5 linked regions of the Nothobranchius furzeri genome follow. The protein of the gene in region 1 interacts with the protein of each later gene in a biochemical or structural test. Links are inferred from orthologs where the notes say so. Each region holds a gene or a part of one and is shown in the gene's direction. Other genes may lie near its edges. The genes, in order: cullin-1, cdc34b, cand1, dcun1d4 and ube2m.

What was found.
Region 2: the proteins of cullin-1 (region 1) and cdc34b form a complex in vitro, tested with the Homo sapiens proteins (3 studies listed by BioGRID). The link is inferred for Nothobranchius furzeri from reciprocal best matches to the Homo sapiens genes CUL1 and CDC34.
Region 3: the proteins of cullin-1 (region 1) and cand1 form a complex in vitro, tested with the Homo sapiens proteins (6 studies listed by BioGRID and IntAct). The link is inferred for Nothobranchius furzeri from reciprocal best matches to the Homo sapiens genes CUL1 and CAND1.
Region 4: the proteins of cullin-1 (region 1) and dcun1d4 are reported together in a solved structure, tested with the Homo sapiens proteins (2 studies listed by BioGRID, with this or other methods). The link is inferred for Nothobranchius furzeri from reciprocal best matches to the Homo sapiens genes CUL1 and DCUN1D4.
Region 5: of the proteins of cullin-1 (region 1) and ube2m, one has a biochemical effect on the other in vitro, tested with the Homo sapiens proteins (7 studies listed by BioGRID). The link is inferred for Nothobranchius furzeri from reciprocal best matches to the Homo sapiens genes CUL1 and UBE2M.

The regions. Positions count from the first base shown.
Region 1 is NC_091747.1:63,530,914-63,534,981, forward strand, and holds the start of cullin-1, read left to right. Parts: upstream 1-1,262; 5' UTR 1,263-1,401; intron 1,402-4,068. UniProt on the Homo sapiens protein: Core component of multiple cullin-RING-based SCF (SKP1-CUL1-F-box protein) E3 ubiquitin-protein ligase complexes, which mediate the ubiquitination of proteins involved in cell cycle progression, signal transduction and transcription.
Region 2 is NC_091751.1:57,908,614-57,912,637, forward strand, and holds the start of cdc34b (cell division cycle 34 homolog (S. cerevisiae) b), read left to right. Parts: upstream 1-1,223; coding exon 1,224-1,409; intron 1,410-1,493; coding exon 1,494-1,580; intron 1,581-1,671; coding exon 1,672-1,769; intron 1,770-3,346; coding exon 3,347-3,481; intron 3,482-3,594; coding exon 3,595-3,805; 3' UTR 3,806-4,024. Other genes in the region: splicing factor Cactin, read right to left, coding at 1-98. UniProt on the Homo sapiens protein: E2 ubiquitin-conjugating enzyme that accepts ubiquitin from an E1 ubiquitin-activating protein, and catalyzes its covalent attachment to other proteins by an E3 ubiquitin-protein ligase complex. In vitro catalyzes 'Lys-48'-linked polyubiquitination.
Region 3 is NC_091741.1:34,353,741-34,356,239, forward strand, and holds part of cand1 (cullin-associated NEDD8-dissociated protein 1), read left to right. Parts: intron 1-57; coding exon 58-266; intron 267-337; coding exon 338-506; intron 507-595; coding exon 596-685; intron 686-764; coding exon 765-918; intron 919-989; coding exon 990-1,227; intron 1,228-1,986; coding exon 1,987-2,175; intron 2,176-2,268; coding exon 2,269-2,412; intron 2,413-2,499. UniProt on the Homo sapiens protein: Key assembly factor of SCF (SKP1-CUL1-F-box protein) E3 ubiquitin ligase complexes that promotes the exchange of the substrate-recognition F-box subunit in SCF complexes, thereby playing a key role in the cellular repertoire of SCF complexes.
Region 4 is NC_091748.1:39,454,346-39,458,647, forward strand, and holds the start of dcun1d4 (DCN1-like protein 4), read left to right. Parts: upstream 1-1,490; 5' UTR 1,491-1,606; coding exon 1,607-1,625; intron 1,626-2,547; exon of another isoform or gene 2,548-2,566; intron 2,567-2,851; coding exon 2,852-2,922; intron 2,923-2,999; coding exon 3,000-3,039; intron 3,040-3,126; coding exon 3,127-3,214; intron 3,215-3,334; coding exon 3,335-3,423; intron 3,424-3,512; coding exon 3,513-3,583; intron 3,584-4,302. UniProt on the Homo sapiens protein: Contributes to the neddylation of all cullins by transferring NEDD8 from N-terminally acetylated NEDD8-conjugating E2s enzyme to different cullin C-terminal domain-RBX complexes which are necessary for the activation of cullin-RING E3 ubiquitin ligases (CRLs).
Region 5 is NC_091745.1:29,824,509-29,828,554, forward strand, and holds the start of ube2m (NEDD8-conjugating enzyme Ubc12), read left to right. Parts: upstream 1-1,246; 5' UTR 1,247-1,461; coding exon 1,462-1,576; intron 1,577-3,839; coding exon 3,840-3,934; intron 3,935-4,046.

The DNA.
Region 1 (4,068 bases):
AATCTTAGTTACTGAAATATTACATTTTAGCTCCATCTCTATGAAACTGAGTAGGAGCCATTTTCGTGTTTGATGATCGGTTTGAATCAGGTTAGAATCCGCTGTTCTGATGCAGTTCCCTGATCCACCAGCAGATGGCCCTCTGCTGGTGGAATAGAGAAACCACTGGTGGAGAACATTTGGTTCTGTGTGTGCGCGCGTGATCATTCTGATTATTTTAATGTTACTGCTCGGGTATTTTGTCTCGCGTATATAAAAACAAGTTAAAATAAACTGATGAAATGTCAGAGTCGTGCTTCTCTGGCATAAATAATTCAAATATCGCCTCAAAGGACTGAACTGCGCATGCCCCACAGGTATCACCCGCAACCATAATTGTAGTTTTCAACAGTAGACCTTTCTGCGGGATGCAGATGATGCATTCAGTGAAAGATTTTGAGCTGCGAAATCATAAAGATGCGCTTGCCCGCTGCGTTGGCCTGTTTGAATTCATTAAAATGTTTAAAAAGAAGAAATTTAACCCGTTTTAATTCGTAAAATCAAATTGTTCTCCAAATTGGGCAATCTGTTGTCTCTAACCTACAAAATGAATGGGTTCCTTTTATTTTGAAAGACAACTAAAATTGATGTTTTTTGGTGGTGGTTTGTGTGTGTGTGTGTGTGTGTGTGTGTGTGTGTGTGTGTGTGTGTATATACTTGTCTTTATAGGTTTAAGTGGACAAATTTGAACTATAACCTGTACTGTGTAGACATTTTTACATTGTGGGGATTTTTTGCTGGTCCACACAATGTGGAGCACCCTAAAACTTGTTTTTAGAGGTATGGCATTAGTTAGGGATAGGGTATGGGTAGGCATAGTGGAGTAACTAACATGGAGCAGGGTGTCAATGAAGGGCCACACAAACATAAAAACAAGCGTGTGTGCGTGCGCGTGCGTGCGTGAGTGTGTTTGTAAAACATCAAACCAGTAGAGCTCGCCTTTATTTGTCACTTGATTATTTTCTTGTGCAATTAATAATATTAATAAAACATTATTAAATAGGTTTCGGTTTCTTTCTTTTTCAGAGTAATTCAGCAAGTAAAGTAAAATATAGATATTAAGAAAGTAAAATAAGATATAGAATAATAGTGTTAATGAAAGAGAATGTTGACACAATTATTTTGGGCATACTGTAATGTGTCATTCTAAGCGTATTCGTGAGATTTCATCACGCAAGCTGATTTTCCGACGGACCCTGAACGCATCCTTGTTCTGATCTTTGTGAGGAGCAGCGAAACGATCGCAGTTAGCCACGGCCAGCAGGAGCTCCGTTCGGCGGAACACAGCGGAGGATACCGAGCCTGGACGCGATTAAAACACCTTTCCAGCGATTACACGATCCCCACAACGAACTAAGAATGGTAAGAAGACGTTTAAGGGCTGCGATTGTTCGCTGGGTGGATCTTTTGTACGGAGCTTAGCTGGAGGTCTAGCTGGCTAATGCTAAACGGCTAGCGAACTGTTTTCCTGACTCATTATCGAACAGAAGCCATTTTACAGCAGGCAGCTAGAGAGTCCTGGGCGCTGCTGTTGGCTCGGCGGCGACGGTGCCGGTCTTTAATAATGCTCCCGGGTACTAACGCTTTACCTTAACCAGTTTTGGGACGGAAACAAACGCTGTAGTTGGATTAAAAGCTCGTCCACCCAACGGCCAGGCAGCTGTGCTAGGTGGCTATCTGAAAAAGCTAAGACTTCGCAGTTGCGTAGCAGCGTCGAACGCCAGCCTGGTGAGATGAAATCCCAACAATAGTCTCATAAAACCTAAAACTTAATGTTGGTTTGAGCTTCATGTGACAAAAGAGTGTCAGGGAAGTAGATTTAATCCGAAGAGAAGCCCTGGCCCTCTGGCTACAAGAGACTGGATGTTTCTGGAGAACCTGGAAAATCTTAAATCCCACATTTTCTATCCCGGAGAGCAGAGGAGGCTTGGAATGATGATTTGGTTTATTATTTTTGTTCCACAAATGATCGCTGCTCTTACACGTTACACCAAAAAATACAACCTAGAGATCAATCTGACTCGAACACAATCTTTCCAATAGTTCTTAATAATCTGGTGGATTTTTCTGTGTAGTCTATAAACGAAGAACTATCCATGGGTTATATTTGTTTTTATTTAAATGTTGTGGAGTTTCTGATGAAGAGTCAGCGATCACACAAGATGCGTCAAAATACAAATAAACAAAACAAGGAAATGGCTTTAAAATAAGTGGTTATCAGTATTTGTGATTGGTTCGTTTTTCCTTCAAAGTAAAAGCTTGGTTTTCTGTCACCTTTCATATCTGTTTAAAATGAGAAAAAATCAGAATTTATTTATTTGTTAAGGTTTGTTAAGTGATTAGATGTAACCAGTAACAGCAAGACAACCAAGGCACAGATTAAACCACCACACCTGTGTTTTTGAGAGATTATTTCATCGGAATAATCCAGAACTTGTCTTTGATGTTCAGCCGCCACAATAAGAAATTTTTATTTATTTCTCTTAGATTTAAAACTGCAGTTTAAACTAGTTTCCCTAATCCCACTGTTCCCAGCAGGAATTCTGTGCCAGGAACCCCTGGTTAGTTTTGTTGACAGCAGGGACTTTGGATAAAAACACCTTCTGTACTGACGCCACAGCTTTCATACTAAAGTGGACTAAACTTTACTTATACAGAAGAACAACCTTTATTCATAAAGATCCGCCCACTTTAATAATGATGATGATAGCTGATAAACATTTAATAAATAGGAGGTGAGGCATAGATTAACTTTTATTCTCTAAGGAGCTTTAATCCTTGTTTTTATTTAATTTAATGATCATTTAAGGTTTTACATTCAGTCCAGTTTGGTTCCGGATCTGGTCTCAGATGGTTCCTACAGACACACAAGCTGGTTGAGGTTCTTCTAATCCCAGGATTATAATCTGTGTTAATGAAAAACTGGTAAACACTTTAAACTGAGTTCCTGGAGAGAACATTAGGTCTTCTGCAGAGACCTGGATTGGGGCAGATCTGGACCAGGGTCTGGGACGGACTACTATGTGTGTGTGAGCTTTAATCTCACTCAATGCACCAGAGAGGAGAGAATCAGATCAGATCCGTTCGGACCAGAACCTCTGGCCATAAGAACAGCTTCTTCCCGTCTGCTGTTGGACTCGTGAACGACAATCCTAGGGTTACCCACTCCCGTGGTGTGGTTCCAGTCACCTGACATGATGTTGTTTGTACCTGAGCTGATCTGCTCTGATTAGTACCTACACAGTAGTAGGGCTGTCACGGTAACCGCAAAAATGAAATATCGCGATATGAAGAAGCCCACCGCGCTGCATCATGGGCCACCGCGATTACTGAACTTGGTTCAACTCAATGATGCATGTTGAGAAGGATGGCTGCACTGGTATCAAAGCAAAACGTTACTTCGCTCCTTTGGGAGCACTTTGGTTTTCAGTACGTCAGCTGCTGCGCAGCCAGAGTCCTTGGCCGAGACAGAGCTGCCACCAGCGGCAAAAATAAATAAATAAATAAACTAGGGCTGCAACAAACGATTATTTGGATAATCGATTAATCGGATGGGGTCTCGACACGATTAATCGGATTACATGGGGAAATTTTTAAAAACTGCTAGGGAAACGTTATTTCTCTCCTTCCTTCACTTTATTTAACACAACATTATTAGAAAACAGTTCAATAGCAGAAAAATAACATGCCATCACCTAAATTGTCTTATAAGGTGTATAGACAGAGACCCTAAGCTACATCTATCTGTGACCTAAAATGCTTGGTCCAAGTTAAACAGCTTAAGGGCAATTCTCATCTGTTTTGTTTGATCTCATCTGTTGACATTTATTTTAAATGTAATTAAACATAGGCTGTGAATTTATCAAAATTGATCACTATTTCCAAAAATGACTGAAAAAATACCAAATAAAACAAAAGTAAATGAATGCCATCCTACTTGTGATGATGCCCTGGGCAACTGCCATAAAGTCACATCAAGAAATGCTGCTGATCATTCCAATGATCCCAAATAGACTCACATTAGGCCAC
Region 2 (4,024 bases), on another chromosome or scaffold:
TCTGGAGATCGCGACCTGTTTACTCTGGACTTGTTTCGGTGATCTCTGCCCCGACTTATGGACCTGGAACGAGACCTACGCCGTGTTTTCGAACCCATCACGAACTTTCTTCTTTTCGGGGCCCTAAATGCAGTCTGTCGCGTAAATAGGAGGCATTGACGAAACACTGTTGATTATAATAACGTTTACAATCGCACTAATAAAAACATATGTCTATGTTTAATGTTCGCATACTCTAACGTGTGCTATGACAGAAAAAATTACGTGTCAGATTTCTTTTATAAAAAATCCAAATGTATTTAGTAAGGCAAAGAAAAGCTAGCCTAAATGGGCTTTCCTGAGCACTGGCGCAGATTAAAACGTCACAGCCACTTAATAAACTACAAATTAGCCACAAATGAACGCAGGATTGTTTTTCTTACAATTTAGTTATGTCGGTGATAAAATACTATTATTGATGTCATAGATATTTCGTCCATAGTAACCGCTACCGTATTTAAACAGTTTAACAGGAAAATGCAAGCACAAACAAACTTATTTTTCTTTTTGGGCATTTAAAATAAAAATAAAAACATCATAAATAAAAAGAACAGGAATTATATTATACCAGGGTTTTCAGTTATTTTGGTTTCACGTTTTTTTAATCTAACAAACGCGGAATGAAAGACTACCAGTCCCAGCCAACAACAGGGCGCCATTACCTGTTTTTACCAGGGGACTCTTTCAGCAACACATTTCCTTTCGCAGCTTTCTATGAGGGCTAAACAATTATGGTTACTGGAGGTATAGTTTGGCGTAGTGTCACATGACTTTTTGCGTTTGTCTTTTCAAATTGCCATTTTATGTAGTTATTTTGTGTTTTTGCGGTAATTACGTCGCTCCAGCTGGTCAATTAGACGGAGCTTGTTAGCTTTCCTTAGCTAACAGTAGATTTAAGGCTTATATCAGCTGCTGCTCTGCCAGGTAAATCAGCCAAAGCTGTTGAGCCTCTCAGACACAATGTGTTTCTCGTTTATAACATTACTGAGTTTTGACATTAATAACGTTTAATTTGGGAACAGACCAACCGCAGTCTTTGTTTTGCTTTTACGCGCGGTCGGCCTGTTTTCTTTGCCTCCGAACATCGAAAAAGGAGAAGTTGTGCTGTTTGCTGGCTTGGCTAGCTTAGCCGTGTAAACAAAAGCTGTCGCCTCCAGATAATCCTGAAAGCTTCATAAATCATTATGGCGCAACACGACCCTTCTCATGTAGCTAGTTCGCAGAAAGCTCTCATGTTGGAAATGAAGAGCCTCCAGGAAGAGCCTGTGGAGGGATTTAAAATCACTCTGGTGGACGAGGCTGATTTATACAACTGGGAAGTCGCCATTTTTGGTCCACCAAACACTCATTATGAAGGGGGATATTTCAAGGTAAGGTTGTAATTAAAATCAGATGACATATAAGAAATGACCGTAGTTTAAAAAATAACAAGATGTCCCCATTTTCCCCCCTAGGCAAGGATCAAGTTTCCTACAGATTATCCTTACTCCCCTCCTGCTTTCCGCTTCCTAACCAAAATGTGGCATCCCAACATCTATGAGGTTAAATATTGACGTGTGTGTACTCATAACAGTGTATTTAATTTGAATGAATGCATCTGATGATGGAATGTATTTGTTTCCCCTCTTGTAGAATGGAGATGTGTGTATTTCTATACTGCACCCTCCAGTGGATGACCCGCAGAGCGGAGAGCTCCCATCAGAGAGATGGAATCCAACCCAGAATGTTCGGTTAGCATTTCTCTTTCTAATCATATTCTCTCTATACGTTTCTCCTTTCTGGTCTCCTTCCATCTTTGTCCACTTTGCAATCACTTCAATGGTTCACCCAGCGCAGACTCTTATCTTATGACATTCATTATCAGCAGCATCTTCTTCACCGGCTGCAGCAGCCAGCAGTAAAGCTAGATCTGCATCTTCCTCTTATTTACAAACAAAATTAAATTGATCTTTGGATAATATCATACTATGCAAACTAAGATTTTGTTGGTTTATTTCTATGAAAAACATACTTTGAGTACCTTAATTCATTGTGACTCACAATAAGTGTATCGCATGAGTTTGACAGCATTTTGCTGCAGAAGAGGGAGAAAATGCATCTTTATTTATTATAAACTTCCTTCTGAGGTTATTTGTCAGGCTCACATTATGCAATCTGTGCACAAAAAAATGTATCTTTGATCTTTTTCTGTAACTGAGAGCCAGATTTCTATTCAACAAGAAACTATCTATGTAAAAGCCACCACAACGATGTCACACTCACAAGTGATATTAAACCTGTGATCTGTAGTAGTCGAAATCACACAACTTCAGCAGTGTTACAAAGATGTAAGCTCTGGTGGTTTCGGTCACTTGATGCAGTGCAGCTCTTATGTTTTTGTTGTTGCAGGTGGTATACCGTTAACCTAACCTAATTTCCTCATTTGCATTTTTGCTGCAGACACATTAGATCTGTAGATCAGGAAGTCTGTCACAAAGGCTGTTCCTTTGGCCACAAACAGAAGCAGCTTCTTTCTGTTTCCCATAACGACTCACTAAAACCTTACTCACAATGCTACGTTTTATAAATGTAATGTAAAGGCTTGTCAGTGCGCATTGTGCGCTCTGCTGAGAAGGTGATTGGCTGCAGCCCTCCATCTCTCCAGGACCTGTACGTCTCCAGAACTCGGGGGCGTGCAGGCCGGATAACAGCTGACCCTTCGCACCCGGGTCACAGACTTTTTGAGCCGCTTCCCTCAGGCAGGAGGTTACGGTCCATCCGGACCAGAACCTCCTGCCATAAGAACAGCTTCTTTCCATCTGCCGTTAGACTTGTGAATAGATTATAAACACACAACCATGCTGGTCTTCTGTACTCGACACAACGTCACGTTATCGGCCATGTTACCATTACCTGCCATTTTAGCTGAAAGTTTTATTCTAGTTTTTTTAATTATTATATTTTATTCTATTTTATTCTATTTTTAATCTTATTATTCATGTTATATGTAGCACATTAGTGCCGAAGCAAGTTCCTAGTTTGTGAATTGTTTGTTCACTGAAAATGGCAATAAACCTATTCTGATTCTGATTCTGGTAGGGTGGTAGCACATGGGTCTGACAGGTTTTTTTAATACATGTTTTATCAATTAGCTTTAAGTTCCTAATGTAATATGTGCTTCATTGTTTATTCTAATAAAATAGTAGATGAAATAAGTAATTTAGGCTTGTGACATTAAAATATTTTTTATGTGTTTAAAACTTTTTAATTCACCTAAAGTCGTTTTCTTATGGTTCTATACTAAGTTGCCTTTGTTTTTTGCTTCTAGGACCATTTTGCTGAGCGTGATCTCGCTGCTAAATGAACCCAACACCTTCTCCCCTGCCAACGTGGACGCCTCTGTCATGTACCGGAAATGGAGAGACAGCAAAGGCAAGGACCGGGAATATGTAGAGATCATCAGGTAAACATTAGTGTAATGTTATTTAAGACAAACCTCAAATATTTCTAAAAGATTTTCAAAGCCACACCATCCACACAAAAGTAATTCAGTCTTCATAAAACAAATCCCTTCAGGAAACAGGTGCTGGCCACAAAGGCAGAAGCAGAGCGAGATGGCGTGAAGGTGCCCACCACGCTAGCTGAATACTGCGTTCGTACACGCGCCCCGCCGCCAGACGAAGGCTCTGACCTCTTCTATGACTATTACTATGAAGACGATGACGTGGAGGGGGGAGACGGCGACTGTTGCTATGACGAGGATGACTCGGGCAATGAGGAGTCGTGACATTCTTGTTGTCAGAAAACCCAACCTAGCTGACGAATGCTCATCCTTTAACTCTTCCTGGGTTGCCAGATATTCTTGGTTTGCAACCAAGAGAGATTGGAAGCTTCCTTCTAAATCAGTACAAGAGCTTTTTTCCTTCAGCCTCAGAGGTTAAAACTGATGCCTCGTTGCGAGAGGGTCAGACTGTGGTCACTTTTGCACCAGCACAGCCACCAATTT
Region 3 (2,499 bases), on another chromosome or scaffold:
TCCTCGGGTTACTGGGTTGTCGTCGATGACCTCATCAAGGATCACGTTTGGTTTCAGGCATCATCTTCTCTCTGAACGATAAGTCCAGCAGCTCCAACCTGAAAATCGACGCCTTGTCCTGCCTCCACGTCATCATGGTCACACACCCCGCCCATGCCTTCCACGCCCACGTCCCCGCCCTTGTCCCGCCCGTGGTGGCGTGCATGGGAGACCCCTTCTACAAGATCACCTCAGAGGCTCTGCTTGTTACCCAGCAGCTTGTCAAGGTGGGAGTCGAACCTGCAACCCTCACTCTGGTTGTCAGCTGATGCTTATTTGTTTGTCGGGTCTCTTCCAGGTGATCCGACCTCTGGATAACCAGTCGGAGGGCTCAGACAGCTTTGACCCCTCCCCTTACATCAATGACCTCTTCACCTGCACGATCAGACGCCTGAAGGCCGCCGACATCGACCAGGAGGTCAAAGAGCGAGCAATTTCCTGTATGGGACAGATAATCTGCAACCTAGGTAACCACCACCTACATGTCCTAGATGTGATGTCCCCTGCCGTCAGACTCGAGTTGGGTTTGAACTTTCCGATGGATTTTGTTATGTAGGCGACCGCCTGCCCAACGAGCTTCCAGGAACGCTGCTGATCTTTTTGGAACGCCTCAAAAATGAGATCACACGGCTGACTACGGTAAAAGGTAAGCCCCGCCCCCCACATTGTCCTCTTGAGTAAGACTGTGATGAGCTGGTGATGAAGTTCAGTCTGGATCTTTGCAGCGCTGACGCTGATCGCCGGCTCTCCGTTAAAAATCGATCTCAGGCCAGTTCTTCCCGACGCCGTTCCCATCCTCGCCTCCTTTCTCAGAAAGAACCAACGAGCTCTGAAGCTCTGCACGCTGGCGGCTCTGGATATCCTGCTGAGAAACTACAGGTAACCATCACACCGGTTAGCCCCGCCCACCTGGCAGCTCTGCCCTCTCACTCTTCATCTGTGGTCCTCAGCTCTGCAGTGACGCCTGTCATGGTGGACGCCGTCCTGGCTGAGCTGCCGCCTCTGATCTCAGAGAGCGACATGCACGTGTCTCAGATGGCGCTGTGCTTCCTGTCCACGCTGGCGGTGACGCACCCGTCCTCGCTGGGCCAGCTGAGCGGAGGGAACATCCTTCAGCAGCTCATCGCGCTGGTTCGATCCCCGCTGCTGCAGGGAGGAGCGCTCGCCGCCATGCTGGAGTTCTACCAGGTACCGCCCCACCACACTCGGACTGGACTCAGTTCGGGGGTCCAAACACCTGTGATGGAGCTGATCTGATCCAATATCGGCTCAGGTCCCGACGTAATTCACTGACGGGAGTAACGACCCGTGGCGGACTTGCCGTGTGTTTACCTGTAACTGTGGGTGGAGACACCCTGATAGTTCAGTTTTATCGTGTTTCAGGTAAACTGTGTGATAGATGAACAGCACCAGAATACGGAGTTCAGTAAATATTTGAGTTTCTGTGAAGGTGGAACTCTAAGGTGAGGAGTTGCAGCGCCCTAACCGTTCATGTGGGGCCCAAACGTGACGTTCCACCTTTGCTTTAAGCCTGGCGTGACTGAAGAAATGAAACACCAGTGGACTGGGTCCTACTGGGTTTGGTGTTCTGCTGGCCTAGACCCAGAACCTTTACAGCCTTTAGAACCAGTTTTGTCAGGAACTGAACCTGACCTAAAACTACATTTAACCCTGAATTTAATTCACCACTTTCATGGACCTTAATCAAAACTGGGTGATGGTGTACCACAGGGATGAGATCCTGGTCCTTTTTGTTCTAAGCAGATGATACAGAACTGAAGACGAATAAAACCCAGCAGCTCTCTGCTCACCGTACATCCTGGGCAGCCCATTGTTTTCTGCTTTTGGGTTCAGTCGGTCTTTTTTTCTGAAACGACAACAAATCTGGTGGTTGTGTAAAACGATGACAGCACGCTGGCTGATCTGGTGTTGCCTCCTCCTGTTCAGGCTCTGGTGGCTACAGACACTCCCGGTTTGGGCTACATGGACCTGCTGAGGATGCTGACGGGCCCGGTTTACTCCCAAAGCGCCGCTCTGCCTCACAAACAGGCTTACTGCTCCATTGCTAAATGTGTCGCAGCTCTGACCAGAGCCTGTCCCACCGAGGGTCCTGCTGTGGTGGGACAGTTCATCCAGGTGAGTCACCTGATCCCAAACCACTAAAGACCAGAGCTCTAAAGAACGACGGCATCAAGGATGAAATATAAAATAGTTTCCTCTTCTTGACAGGATGTGAAGAACAGCCGCTCCACAGACTCCATCAGACTTCTCGCTCTCCTCTCACTGGGCGAGGTGGGACACTACGTGGACCTGAGCAGCCAGCCTGAGCTCAAGACCGTCATCCTGGATGCTTTCTCCTCCTCCAGTGAAGAGGTAGCCCCACACTTGCCTTCACATCTAAGCCCCGAGTTGCTTTTCCAGTTTGGAGTCGTTGACAGCGCCTTTGGGCTTGTGTTTCAG
Region 4 (4,302 bases), on another chromosome or scaffold:
CACCACCAGCAGGCAAGGTGGGTTAAGTGTCTTGCCCAAGGAGACAACAGCAGCATTCTCTGTCCGGAGCCGGGATCGAATCTGCAGCCTTCCGATTATGTTTATGTTTATGTATTTAGCAGACGCTTTTGTCCAAAGCGACATACAAGTGATAATCGGCATTTTGCCCTTGAGGCTAACAATAACAATAACAACAACAACATTAACATCAGTCATGGAGAGGAGGGAACAAGTAGTGGACAGTAGAGAGGGGGGACGGGTGCAGGCAAGGTGCTAGTTAAGAAGATGCTCTCTGAAGAGCAGGGTCTTCAGGAGTTTACTGGACAACCCGCTCTACCTGATGAGCTACTGCTGCACCAAGCTTAGACATCTCATGGGGCTTAAAGGAGATGTACAGTTGGATGTCATCTGTGTAAAGATGGTAGGAGATTCCTTTGAAGAAGCTCAGTATGTGCTGAAGAGGAAGCAGACAGAGGAGGAACAGTAGGGGCCCCAGCACAGAACCTTGTGGTACACCGTGTGTGGAGAAGGTGGTGGAGGACCTAAACTTGGAGATAGCCACAAAGAAGGAATAGACAAATATGAGGAGAACCACTCCAGAGCACATCCTGATAGACCAGTCTCTCAGCCTATTCAGTACCTGGTGATGGTCAACAGTGTCAAAGACTGGAGTCAGGCCCAGCAGGTCATGTCTATTTGCTTTAATTAAATCCAGGTGGTGACTTTTCTTTGAACAGGCAGTGTGTTACTCAGCATAAATTACAAACAAGTCACTTTAATAGCAAGATGTTAATTAAAAGACAAAACAAAATAGAAACACTAGTAATTTTAGAGAAACTACTTTTTGGTTGAGAAAGCTGCTCATATTTTCTCTGTATTAGACCAGTTTTTATGATCTTCCATGTGGTAATAAAACATATCAGCTGCTAATAACAACAATACAATCGCCTTGAACAAACAGTGACTACCTAACCCATCTTACCATGAAGATCCAAAGGTGAACACACCATTAACGTACAGGTGTTGGGCTTGATCACGCTGAAAACAGATTAAAACTCATTTCTTCTCAGCCTTTGTGCTTGCCGACATAGGCCAAAAAAATTGTTGATTTAAATATTTCAAAATGTCATATTATCTGTTTTAGTGATCCAATATAATTTATTTGCATGTGTGCTCACTTTGTTTGAATAAGGAAAGTAAGTGTGAACCTAGTGGGAAAACAAAACAAAACTACGAATTACTAATTATTTTACTAACCATAACACTTATCAACCTAACCCATATAAAACAGTGAACACCTGAACGACCAATCAGGTCTCATCGTGGGCCGGCTTTAGGCTTGCACGAGGAAATTCTAGTGATTGACGTACACGTAGCACGGCCCATTGGAGGAGCTCTGACCAATCCGATTAGTAAATAGGCGTTCTCCTGTCTGTTTTTCCCGCCCCTTCCAGAAAGGACATATTTATTAGCCAATAGAAAGCGAGCAAGGGCAGAGACTTCAAGCCGAATTTCAGTTACTGCGTACGGGCGTCCTTTACGCTAACAAGGCCCGCCTATTGGCCGGTCTACGGACTTCCCACAGACAGTTGTATGTTTCATAAAAATGCACTCTGATGCGGCAAGTAAGTGAGAACGTTTCTGCATCAAATTGCGACCTTTCTCGTTGTTGGTGCGCGTATCAGACAGAAAAAACGGACGCGTTGTGTTTCTACATCCGCCTTTGTCCCGTGTGTCTGTCAGGTTTCATGGGAACGCATGAATCCTGTCTTATTTGCTAGTCTCTTTGTATTTGCCAGTGCTGTCTGGGTCGACAACAAAGGAAGGATGGCTACAGTAATTATAGCTATTTTCAGTTGTAAACGTTTGCTGAGACACGATAAGTTTATTTCTGGTAATTATTTTCGGGTTGTGCTGCTGTTTTAGGTTAAATTCCACCGACGCTGCTTAAGTTCAGAGGATTTTCGATTGCAGTCGGTGCGTTGTGGCGTTCCTATTCCTCGTTACTCGTGGCGCACATAATATTTAAACTCAAACTTGTAATTCGGCGTGATTCGGCCAATTTTCGGGTCAGCTGCGGACTGTAAGAGAGAAGGAAAATTGTGACGCAGTTGTGTAAAACATCTTTCGTTGCTTGCTGCAACAGTGCTAGCAATTTTTTCATAGCCCACGTTAGCTTCTGTAAAACGTCACCACAGTGCTTTCCTGTCAGTGACCATGTCGCATTACATTTATTAATCAATGTAAAATGTATTCAGTCGGAAAAGGTACATGTTGGGGGGAGATGAGTCTGAAAGAAAGAGTTGTTTTGTAGAGACGTGGGTATTGTAGTTTATTAACCCAAGCAAAGCTTAGCTTCTAACGACCACTATAAAGGAAAAGAACTACAACATCCAGACGCCCGACTCTCTGGATACTTTGTAAACTCTGCAAGTTGCTCGTCTACTGCTATTTTTGGTATGCAGCTAGTGCTATCCGTTCGTTTATCTCTGCCGTTTCTCTGAGTTTTGCCTCTAGTGATAATTCTGTACTAAACAGCAACACACACCCGGCTTTTACTCACAAGGTAGCCGCCATAATCGAATATATTAGCGTTTTAGTCCTGTCCTTTCAGTAGCACAGGGAGTCAATCGTGAGGGTCTTTTTCTGCCATTTTAAAGCCCTAAACACATCATATGTGTGGGTTAAATGGTAATGTTGTGTTCATAGGCAACGTAGGATTCAAGTCTCCATTATTAGCGTTGTTGACGTCACCTCTTCATAACCTTACATGATTAGGTCGAGTATTAAGTTATAAATGAAGCCTTATTTGGATTTTTCTAAAATGTCATTTAAATGTTTTTGTGGATAGATTTTCAGCTGAATTCTCATTTGACTACACTGGCCAGCATCCACAAGATTCACCACACCTTACACAGGCTGGTAACTATCTAACAGAAGGCTGATTATTTGTGTGAAGTGAATGTTTCTTTTTTTATTCACATGCTTTTATTTGTTAGAATCTGGCTGAAGACGTTGGACAGGATAGCCACCCGTCAGGTAAAATCCTTACGTGTGTTTTCTGTTCTTCATGCAGTTTGCACGCTAGTTCTGCTGATACTGATCTGCTGTGAATTATTTTGACAGCTTGCTACTCAAGAGCCATGCCACCTAGGAAAAAGAGGAGACCTTCTGCTGGAGATGACATGTCAGCCAAGAAAAGTCGCCAAGAGAGGTGACAGGAGGGTTTTCAGGAAACTTGATTGTTGTGGCTTATTAAAATAAACATGGACACAAATATGCTTCTGTAGTTTTGCTGCTTAGCTCACGGCTGACATCGTCTCATTATCTACAGTGTTTTCAGAAAACATGAAACATCGCAAATCCGGGAGGAGGAGACGTTTTCTAGTAAAAGATGTTTGGAGTGGTTTTATGAATATGCAGGTGAGCAGTCATCACACATTTTGGTTTAGTCACTGATCTTTGTGTTTGTAGCTGAGTTAATGCTGTGTGATGCTGCTCGGCTCACCTAGGTTGTGACGATGTGGTGGGTCCAGAGGGCATAGAGAAGTTCTGTGAGGACATCGGAGTGGAGCCTGAAAACGTGAGCAGATTTTATTTAGACTTGTTCACTACTGGACAAGGTTTTGGTTTGGTTCCATTTGCATGATCTTAGTTTATTCTATTTCCTCCTTTGGCTGCCCATCACACTGTCTCAGTGACACTGAAACAGGAATTTTAGTCATAGCAACATACGGTCAGCATTTGCATACACATTAATGCTTTTACAATCTGAAATCTGTTGACATAACTCAACAAATTTGCATCCCTAAAACACAAATATACACAGATCTGATGTGCAGCGCAATCTGTTTTCACGTCCTAAAAGCAGGTAAAGAGAATCCGGTTAACTTGGCAACAGCTGCTGTTCTATGGTCCCCGACTCGTGGTTGTCTCATCATAGCTACCTCAGTGGGTTCTAGCAGGTCTCACGAAACCCACTGCAGGTATTCAACACACCCTAAAGGTCAAAAGTTGCTCCATTACACATCCCTGGCTACTTATGGCCATTCTAAAATATCACCACACCACTAGTGCTTGCTTACAGAGAGACTTTCAGGTCATCTGGCCCTCTTGATTACTGTGCCCGTCCCAGGAACCATGTCTGGTCAAACCTTTTTGCTGAACCCATTTTTTGCCTTTATTTTTTATTTTTGAAAGATGTATTACTTGTTGATTATGTTGTTTCTTCTTGGGGCCTTTAAAGGAATATTTTGACCATTTTGAATGTGTTTCTATATATAAATAACAGAGATGGGGAAT
Region 5 (4,046 bases), on another chromosome or scaffold:
TGTGATAATTAACCAATCACGCACCTGTAATGACATAACATCCCTCCCGTCGCCCCCACACCTGGCGGAAAAGCTAATGACAACCGTGCTAATGTGTTAGCAGGCTAGTAGACTGTCCGCCCCCTGCGGTTGCTTCCTCTTTTAGTATCCAGTGATAATGAACAGTAAATTAGGCAGGTGGAGAGGAATTACACTGACTGAGCTGAAAACGCACGCACACGCACGCACGCACACACACAGCGCCCTCTCACCTCTTCCTTTCAGCTCGCATGGTCCTCGTTCACTCATCAGAATCAATATTAGCGAGCCGTTAGCTTCAGCTAAGCGCTTCCTTGTTTGTTCCTCCGCCGGGCTGCTGCTGTTCGCTTCGGGCTGCTTCATTCGCGTCCCATTGCTCCGGCGAGCTCCCAGGCCGGGCCAGCCTTAACGGACCCGTGCAGGGTCGAAATGTCTCGATAGCCGAACCGATCGATTAGGATACAGTGAAGGGCACAGTGATGCTGACTGAGTCGTGCCCATTCACTCCCCTCTCTGTCCCTCTGTCTGCAGTGTGAGACTGCCTCACTCTCCCCTCAGCACGTTCTGCTCCTCTTCCTCCCGCGAGGCTTCAAAAACACAAACACATACAAAAACACACACACAACTGCACACAACAACACGCAAAGGGTTCGTTCTCACTAACATCTACGCGCACGTGTAACCCTCCGCAAGAACTAGTCCCCGCGCATTAACATGAATATGAGCAAAACGCAGCGCGCGGCTTTTGTTCTCGTGTCTATTGTGCAGCGGTTGTTTGCGTGATGTGCGTGATCTGGATTATCATTAATGCCACTCAACCATGACATGTCTTTCACCAGCGCATTCATCATATCACGCAGGTGACCTTACGGTGTGCATCTTTACACCGGTCTGTAAGGAATAAAATAAAATAAACCTAGTGAATAAAATATGGGCAGGCAATATACCTTGGCCCCGCCTTTTGCGTGATGACATCACGGCTAGTCTACTGGCATATGTAGTTTTTTCTTAATGTATTTTGTTAAAAAAATAGATCCTGAATATAAATTCAATTAAAGTGTGCAATAATTATAGATATTAAATAACGAAATTATATTAAAAACAATAATAACTATGGCTTTTCTAACTATGACCCTTCTGCTATCAAGGTTGGCCTCAGGCTTGCCTATTAGTCACGTGACAGTCCTTACCAGTTTACCTCTCCAATATGGCGCAATTAGTGACGTACCAATCCATGCGACGTCTGCACCCTCCTCCCCACCCGGCCTCTCCTGCGGGCTAACAGCTAGGTTAGCTCGGTGTGATTAGTTGAGACGCACCGGCTCCATCCACATTACGGTGCAGTTCGGGCTCATTTGGCTCTGTTAACACTCAGGACACACGGGGAGTTCGCACACTAAAGGGACTCAAGAGTTTAGGCCTCCGATTATCGAACAAGTGAAGATGATTAAGCTGTTCTCCCTGAAGCAGCAGAAGAAAGACGAGGAATCTGCTGGAGGAAACAGAGCCGGAGCCGGGGGCAAAAAAGCCAGCGCGGCCCAGCTTCGAATACAGAAAGGTAGGCTGGTTTCCCACCTCACCACCCTCTCAGCACCCCTGCCAGTCTTTCCTGCTTCCCGACTGTCCGGTTACTGGCAAACTACCGGGGGACACAGCCGTTTAGTGCCCGGTAGCCGTGAACTCAGGCCAGCTAACTGGTAGCAGGCTATTCAGAAGCTAACAACGGCTAGCTGCTGCTGCTGTATTTGAAAACAAAACAGAGACGCTCCAACTCCGTAACGATTTGGGGCCACCTTATCAGAACACAATCGTTAGGATATAAGACACATGTTTATTACGCATACCTCATTAACAGCCCACACAAACACTGTTTTCTAGTCGGGTTTTACGCGTTGGTGGGAGCTTTGGACAAGCTAACTTGCTGTGTCAGCCCTCTGTCACAAACTTCAGGTGTGACTGACTGGTGGTCAGATAGCCCAGGTCAAAGTGTATGTCGTTCATTTAAAGTGGAGCTGAAACACCCCCCTGCCTGGTTCCTGTCCTTAAACCAGCTCACACTGAGCTCGTCATGTCAAACACCCGCAGGTGCCCCTGTCCCCCAGGTGTTAGACACCTAGTTGGTCCTGTCAGGTGGTGAGAAATTGAAATGGTTCCTCAACAAGAAATCATCTCACCAAACTGGCAGGTAGGGTTAACATCTGTCCATTATGACTGTTAAACTGCTTACACTTTTGATAACGCACTCAAATACACGCCTATGAGGGTGCTGTTCTGGCCTCAGGGTTTCAGGCACCTATATGATGCAGTAGCATGGCAACTGAGGCATTGTTTACAAACACTGTGAAAGGCTAGTTTTTGAAACTAGACCCCTAAGTCCCTGAAGAGTTTAAAAGTAGATGGCAAAGGCAAAATGGAGAACAAAGAAGAGACCCAAGGTGTGATATTACTGGACAGTGCGTTGCTTAGAAAGACGCATGAGCCGGGTTCAAAACACACACTGGAGCAGCACGTCAGGGTAATACTGCCGCCACGTGGTTCTTTGGAATGCACCATGGTGGCTTGACGAGATGAGAATATTGCGTAGTTCGTTCCGTGAAACCTGATTGTACTATTATTGCAACATTGGACTTTTGAATGAAGTTCATGACTTCTTGCAACAGAGGGGGATGCCATGGTCATGGATGAAATGTCCACTAAGCCCTGGTTGGCAATAATTTTCCAAATGCAAGTTAACATGGGGAGTCCCTGTCGTGTTTGCAAACAGTGTCAGCGGAGATGGCAAACTGGCGTGGTGCAGATATCCAGAAGATCCTGGCTGTTAGAATTGAAGATCTGATCACAGGACAGTTCCCCTTTTGGGGTGGCTCACAAAAAAAACTTAAGGACTGTGGCTTCAAAAGAGATAAAAACAAGTTATGTCCAAGTTAAAAGGATGTCCATGATGACACAGAGATCACCCAGCACCCCTGTTATACAGCAACCATGTGATCTTTTGTGAAAAACATGATTGCACCCCATTATGGCCACAGGCTGACCACTTATGAATGATCAAATGCTCCCTTTGCGGCACTTTTTGCAAGTGGAGCATTTATTTATTTATTTATTGGAACAGGCTATAGAAGTAGTTAAAGCATTTACCCATACTGTCTCCATCCCAGCCTATATCATTAGCTCCTTTGATGGGACCCCAAGGCATTGTTTGGATATTTGCTGATGTCAACCTCCTGCTGCCACATTCTACTCAACTAAAGTCCTTGTATTAAATGAGCCAGCCTATCGTCCAACATGGTTATGTCTATTCCCGAGTCTGAGCTATCTCAGCTGGCATCTCTGGATGAGAAGAAGCAGCGGTTCTACTCAGTCCTCCTTGAATGTCTGAACTCCTCACTGTGTAAATTTCATTTTGGCAGCCTGTTATGATCTTGTTTTGTCATTCTTTACCACGACCATATGTGAGGGTTGGAATGTAAATCAACTAGAGATTCTTGTTTGTTTAATCAGTCGAAAGTTGTTTTGTACATCATCTTACTGACACCTCAGTCATTTCTACACAACACGTTCATAGAGGTCTCTGGAGTTCAGCCATGTTCTTCAGCTGCCCTCTCAGACGTCTGACTTGGTAATGCCCAAAAACACACAAGTTTAGGTCACCCTGTAATTCCTGTGTTGTCTCTGAAGTTGGAACTCTGGTTTTTAAGATATCATGTTAAATAAACGGCTGTCCAAACCAGTCACGTGCATGTGGTCTGTTTTTGTGTTCAAAGTGTTCTGTTGGTGCTGATCCAGTTAATTATAATTAAAATGATCTGTTTGTGTTTCAGACATCAATGAGTTGAATTTGCCAAAGACGTGTGAGATCAGCTTTCCAGATGATGATGACCTCCTCAACTTCAGACTCATCATCTCACCAGACGAGGTGTGTGTGTGTGTGTGTGTGTGTGTGTGTGTGTGTGTGTGTGTGTGTGTGTGTGTGTGTGTGTGCGTGTGTGTGTGTGTGAGATAAAGATTAGGTCTGTGGTTTGTTGTCA